2 linked regions of the Schizosaccharomyces pombe genome follow. Changing the gene in region 2 together with the main gene of any one other region gives a genetic interaction. Each region holds a gene or a part of one and is shown on either strand. Other genes may lie near its edges.

Region 1 (3,276 bases), on a different chromosome or scaffold from region 2:
TTTTGATTTTTGGAAGAGTCAATATCGTAGTGACATACTTATAAACAATCTGACAGAGACCTTATTTGAAAGCATTGTTCCAGATACTACGAATTCCCCTTTTTCCACAGAAGCTTTCCTTCAAGCCGTTGAAAATGGTCATTTAAATCACGAAATGTTTACTTCCTTTACGGATATTTTTTTCAAGTCATATCAGAATTTAGAATCGATTAATTCCTGGTTGAGGTTGATGGCGTCCCTTTACAAAGATTTAAGTGAACTAGTTCCAGTTGGAATTACAGCGGAAGGTCGAACGATTTTAGGCCTAAAATTGAACGGTCGACATCCTTCCGACAACGGGGAAAAGATTCGTAACAAGAAAGTGATTATTATTCAAGGAGGATCTCATGCTCGTGAGTGGATAGGTATTCCATCTGTTTGCTATGCCGCATGGCAATTGTTGGCAAAATATGATTCCGATGGTCATGTCCGAAAGCTTTTGGATAAATTTGAATGGATTTTTATTCCAGTTTTAAACGTTGATGGTTATGAATATACATGGTCAAACGATAGACTGGTAAGTGGTTTGTAATGAAGCATATACTAATTATTTGTCAGTGGTCAAAAAACAGACAGCCTCTTAATAATTCCGAGTGTTTTGGCATAAATCTCGATGCGAATTGGGCATTTGGCTTCAACGGTAATATTGATCCTTGCAGCAACGGTAAGCGAACTATTTTTTTTGATGACTTATTACAACTAACAAACTCAAGAATATGGAGGATTATCACCTTTTCAGGCTAACGAAACTATGGCCTTGTTCAATCTGATAACTGAATCCTTGTCGCAAGAGCAGAAAAAGGTCGTTGGATTTCTTGATGTGCATTCGTATTCACAATCTGGTATGTTTCGACAGTCTATTTTCATTTACTAATTAAGTTAGTTTTGTGGCCTTATGCATATACCTGCGACTTGTTTCCTCCTGATACTGAGAATTTTGAGGAATTAGCAATTGGCTTAGTTAAAGAGTTGCATCGCGTAAATAGTAGATACTACACATATCAACAAGCATGTATACCGTATGATGGATTTCATAAACATTACCTACCTGGAACTGCCATTGACTGGGTTTATTTTGCTGCTGATGTAGCATGGCCTTTCAATATTCGATTACGAGACATGGGTGATTATGTAAGTTGATATCTCTAAAATTTTTTACTAATTAAACAAGGGATATTTATTACCTGCTAAACAGATTGTCCCCACAGCTAAGGAATTTTTTGCGATGATTCTTTACTATGGAGAGTTTATCGCTGAGTATGCATTTTAGTCCAAGAAAGATCAATAATTATTCGCTTATCTGTTGGCAATTTTGCCAAATTTAATTATAGTAATTATTAATTTATGAAAATAAATACCTTCCTTCCAGGTGGTTCAATTGATGCGTTATTTACCTGTCTTAACAATAAATCCAGTTCTATCAATTAACGTTTTTTAGAACGTTATAAGAATTTAAGAGTGAATACTTACTAAAGTAGTGAATCATGATTACTTTGCAAGAGTAAATATTAAGATTTTTTGGTGTAATCGTATTTGCACTCCACCAACATAGTCTCAATAATAACAGTTGTGAATTGCATATTTTTTCAATATGACGACTGCACATGTATGCTCAATTTACATATATATCCTCTATTTTATAATTTAAAACTAACTCATGTTTAGAGACCCCAATTTGATCCAGCTAGGGGGCATTCAGAAATGGCCCCTACTAGGATAACGTCTAGTCGCGCATTACCAGCTCATTTAAAACTAAAATATAGACAAGAATCTCAAGGAACTGAGGAAGAGGTCAGAAAACAGGATTTACGAGAGGCATTGTTACGTGCAGAGGCTGCACATTTTGCAACTCAAGAACATGGTGCCTCTTCTGAAGAAGTAAGCCAGAATTCAAAACTCATAGAAGGTTTCACTTCCCCTTCAACGGACGATAAACCCAATAACGATGTTGAGGTTGATTATCAAGAGCTGTTACGGCAGACTTTGGAGGCGGACGAGGATGCTAGCGATAGCGACGACAGTGTGGATAGTTCAAATAAAAATTCTGAGGTATCAATTAAAAGAAGAAAAACAGAATCAAATTCTCAAGAATCCGTTGACTCATCAAATTCAGAAAGTTCGGACGAAGAGTCCGATTCAGAAGATGAGACACAACAGCTACTTCGAGAGTTGGAAAATATAAAACAAGAAAGAAAACGAGAGCAAATGCTTCAGGAAGAGAAAAACAGAGCACTGGAGCAAGAAAAAAGGGAACGGGAAATAGCTTTTGGAAATGAGCTTTTGAATAAAGCTTCTTCAGGGTCTTTTCAAGTTAAGCGTCGATGGGACGAAGACGTTGTTTTTAGGAATACACATAAAGGGGTTGATGACACACCTCGGCCTGGATTTGTTAATGATATGTTGAGAAGCGAGTTTCACAAGAAGTTCTTGGCAAGATTTGTTGATTAAATCACCTGTGGGTTTGCTGTCTTCTTTTCTTTCCACAAAACAAAATTTCTTCATTCTACTGCTATCATACAAGGCAATTTTTAAGAATGTTACTTATAAATGAGATGATAATGTTTAATTGATAACTTGCTTCTTTTTTTGTTTTAATACTGGCTGTACTGAGTTTAGTAGTTACAATTGTTGGTATATTAAGTTTACAAAATTTATAATTGCAAAGCCTTTATTTGAGTGATGCATATCTTATTTATTCTCTCACCAAATCTGCGTTAACGGAAGGGGTTACTGAAAAGTTTACTATAATTTAATGTAAATATTTTATCATTTTTAAAAAAGACAACTACTATAACTTTTTGTACGAAGGAAACATTTGAGAAATACTATATATATACTTTTGAAGTCGTTTGCTTTTACTTTTGAAATCACTAATTTATTTAACATAATGCAAGGATGGTTGCTCAATACCGAAATATAGTTTTACTACTGTACTGGCTAATCACCACTTGACTTTTACCAAGACATAAAGGCTTTCGTAAACAAAATGGCTTTGCGAGTTCCAAAGGCCTCTGGGCCTCAACTGTTTCGCGAAGGATATCGGATTATGCAGGGCGTAGAGGATGCAGTAATCCGTAATTGTAATGCTATTCGTGAACTTTCAGAAATCGTAAGGACCTATAATTTATTAAGCAAGTTTCATTCATTTACTGATACTTTTAGACCCGTACCTCTTTGGGTCCAAATGGAAAAAATAAAATTGGTATGTTGACTCAAACAGTTATTTCATTTCTTATT
Region 2 (3,760 bases):
GGACGGTTTTGATTCGGGAGCTGACGGTTTTGACTCAGAAGCAACAGTAGAACTAGCTAGACCATTTTCAGAAGTTTTTTTGTCATTGAAAATATTGCTTGTTGGCTTTCCAAAACTACTTCCAAAATTAAATTGTAGCGTAGGTTTTGTTGTGTCTTGTGTACTAGAAGCATTGTTTAAAGAGAAATTGAACGTAGGAGCTTTCGTTTCTTCCTTCTCTTCAAGGGTTTTAGGTGCGAATCCTCCAAAGCTGAAACCAGAAGTTGAAGCAGGAGCAGACGGAGCGTTGTCCTTCTTTTCTGTTTCTTCTCGTTTTGGACTTAATTGAGAAAAAAATGAAGGCTTGTTCTCAGTTATACTTGGCGTCTCTTGAGTCTTTGACGGTAATTGTGCAAAGAACGTTGGCTTGGGCTCATTCTCCTTCAAACGATTAGTTTGCACATCAGCAGTAGCAGTTGGCTTAAACTCAAATTTGGGTACATTTAATTTTTTGTCCGTGGTAGCTTCAGTCTTCGGTTCAAACTTAAATTCGGGTACTGAAAAGTGAGAAGATTTGATTTCCTTAGAAGGTGATGGCGGTTCAACTTCGGACTTTCTAGTTGTAGATTCTTTTGTCGGCGATGAGGAAAATTGGCTTTTGGGCGCTTCTGTATCCTTTGACAATGGCTGATGTTCAAAGGTTTTATTATCCTCAGCGTTCGCGAGAGTAAGTGCCGTATCATTCGGAGAAGTCTTTACAGGCTTAGGGGTAATAGAGGCTTGAAGCTCTTCAAAGGTAGGGGCGGACTTCGTCAATAAACCCTTGTCACTTGTATTATCCTTGGGAGATGCTATTATAGGTTCTAATATACGCTCAGATTTTGGATTTTGTTTGGGTAATGCGGTGTAATGAACGTCATCTTCGCAAGCAAAGATTTCATCCAAATCCTCATCAACTGCAGAAAAAGCCTTAATATGACCTTTCTCGAGAGTCTGACGCTTACGCGAAGTGGGTGTACTTAACCGGTGATAAATATCTTGCTTATCAATAAACATTGTATTACCGGGGTTGGAATCTGTCTGAACTTCTGCATTGACTAATACAGGCTTCCTTAAATCCATCTGTTCAAGAGTTTCATAAATGATAGGGATAAGCCGCTGGTGTCTACGACGTCGCCGAGAGGAGCGGTGAGGAACGTGATTTTTTGCTGAGACCTCTGTTTCGCCATTCTCCTTATCTCTAATGTCGGTAAGACTCTTATGGGAATCATTTCCAGAAAAGCTTTTGTTCTGCTTAGCTGAGGGCTCGTTTTCAGAGGCACGAGCAACAGATTTCTTTTTGGAAAGCATAGGACTGGGACTTCTAGAAGGCTTGCGCTTCTCACAAGTAGGATTAGCTTCGGTAATACGATCTTGTTTTACACTTGATATATTTAAGGTATTTTTCTGCTCATCGTGAAGTGACCGAAGGATATTGAGCAATGAAGCAGAGGATTTGGGAGTTGCAATTTGATGTTGAGAAGTGCTGCCCAACTTTTTGGATAAAGCAGAAGAAGGATGAAGCGAATTAAGTGATTTTAACGACAACTCGTCATGGCGTTTAAAAAGCGTTGGGGAATTAGTATAATCTTGCTTTTGCTTTGGCTTCCTAGGTTCAAATGTATTCGTATGAACTTTTTCCTCTATTCCATCAATTGTTCTAACATGGCTCCGATTACTAACGCGAATAATTCTTCTATTTAATGTTAATATGTTTCACGACAAAAATGTCAACTTACGGAGATTTTCCTAAATAATGAGGTGTTAACTCTGGAGTAAGCAGGCTTTTTGTACCTGCTCTTCCACTCTTTCTATCCTTGCTAGCCGTTCCTGAAGCTTTCTCGTCTAGACCACTGGTGAATGGGTGCAAAACAGATGAAAATGCCCGTTTCAAGACCGTAAAAAAGGGCCTTGAGCTCCCCTGAGGTGGGTCATAGGGTTTCTTAACAGTCTTTGATGAAGTGCGAGTATTTTTTGAAACAGGAGGCATCAATACAAACTCATCGACAACTACTAGAAGACGTTGGTTAATGAGAAGTAGCGAGTTTAGTTACGTGGCAATTATTTTTCATGCTAATGACTTATTGATTGTCTGGTAGCGCTATTTGTTATATGCCAATATCGTAGTCGTAGGAACTGTACGACTATTGTAACACGTTTCGTAAAAATGTTTAATACGAGAAGAAAGGGAGTTATTTGAAGGTGTTAAGCAAGATGGAATATGTTAATACAATTTGTTTTCGGTTTAAAAAAATGGGATATCAAATTCTATTTAATCTCGTTACCAGTAAAGTGGTGATTGCAACAGTAGTCCACGAGCCTTAGCTTCGTCAATATTCGCTTTATCAAGTTTTAGGCTGTCTAATATTCTAGCAACTTACTTGCAATACTTAAATTCTTCCGTTTAAATCAGCTTACATTGTATGAAGAAATGATTAGTTCTATTTTCATAGAAAAACACTTAGGCACGTACTGTCTAATCGTACGTAATTGGAATTTCGCTTTACTATCATCTATAGTAGTGTTGATTAAAACAAGTGCCTCCCATATAGCAAGGCAGCGTTCATTGCTAATCATATTATGCAAATATTCACTTAATTAGTATATTAATCAAAAAAAAGCTACCAATATATACCTATAGTAACTGAATAGTGGGATCACCTCATATAACTATTAGTATGTGTCTACTTATTACTGAGATGTCACATACTATGTAGCTATTTGAATATTTCATAACCATCAATTCAAAAATTGGTGGAAGACAAATGTTTTTTCCTATTTTTCTATTCCTAAATTGTATACAAAGTAGTTCGTTATAGAGATCATTGAAGGCATGGCAAAAATTGTTTACTAGACATTATGAATTTCAGTAACAGATCTTTGGTTCAATAGTGGATAAATAATATACTCAATAAATATAAAACCATGAAAATCTTAAATATAGCAAATTAACTAAGGCATTGAAAGAAATTTGTCGATCCTGGTTCTTCCAAACTACTATTAACGTATATTCAACTTAAACTTCAGCTTGCCGTTTACCAAGCACTGCATATTTGGGTTCTGCCAGCTTTCCCTTTCTATTGTCATGATTTACGCTGTTTTTATATTTAACAATAAAGGGAAACCTCGTCTCACAAAGTTTTACACTCCAATTGATGAATCCATTCAACAAAAGTTAATAGGAGATATATATGCAGCTGTATCCACTAGGCCCCCAACCGCTTGTAATTTTTTGGAAAGTAATTTAATTGCAGGTAAAAATAGAATAATTTATCGCCAGTACGCTACTCTCTACTTCGTTTTTGTAGTAGATGAAGGTGAAAGTGAACTAGGAATTCTCGATCTCATTCAAGTAAGTTGAAATTAGTTACTTTCCAATTTCTAACTATTAAAGGTATTTGTTGAAGCATTAGATCGATGCTTTAATAATGTTTGCGAGCTTGATTTGGTAAGTACATTTCACTACTCGTTTATCTTCCCATTATCCTACTGCTATATGTTTGAAACCATTGATTCCGTTTTTTTTTATTTAATTTGTTTTTTTCTTATTTGGTTTCGAATGTTTGGAAATTTGGCCTTACAAGAAACATTAATGTTTGTCCAATATTCGATTATCAAAAGAGCATAACATTTATTTTTATCATTTATTGAACTTAGGAACTACAAGAGTTTAATTCCTAATTCCTTTACTTCTCATCGCCTTCAAGAAAGAAATTATGCATAGAACTGGAAGTAGAGTCTC

Evidence for each region. A genetic interaction does not mean that the proteins touch.
Region 1: mutations in nup124 (region 2) and cwf15 together harm fitness more than expected from each alone (negative genetic interaction), as found in Schizosaccharomyces pombe (one large-scale study listed by BioGRID).

What each region holds. Positions count from the first base shown.
Region 1 is NC_003423.3:1,040,328-1,043,603, reverse strand, and holds cwf15 (protein Cwf15), read left to right. Parts: upstream 1-1,574; 5' UTR 1,575-1,630; coding exon 1,631-1,645; exon of another isoform or gene 1,646-1,704; coding exon 1,705-2,487; 3' UTR 2,488-2,616; downstream 2,617-3,276. Other genes in the region: ecm14 (carboxypeptidase), read left to right, coding at 1-556, 598-703, 753-881, 923-1,170, 1,211-1,309; chaperonin-containing T-complex theta subunit Cct8, read left to right, coding at 3,026-3,148, 3,202-3,241. UniProt on the Schizosaccharomyces pombe protein: Involved in pre-mRNA splicing.
Region 2 is NC_003424.3:1,110,462-1,114,221, reverse strand, and holds the start of nup124 (nucleoporin Nup124), read right to left. Parts: upstream 2,048-3,760; 5' UTR 2,009-2,047; coding exon 1,758-2,008; intron 1,715-1,757; coding exon 1-1,714. Other genes in the region: AP-3 adaptor complex subunit Aps3, read left to right, coding at 3,104-3,370, 3,413-3,466. UniProt on the Schizosaccharomyces pombe protein: Nucleoporins may be involved in both binding and translocation of the proteins during nucleocytoplasmic transport. In S.pombe it is required for the nuclear localization of retrotransposon tf1.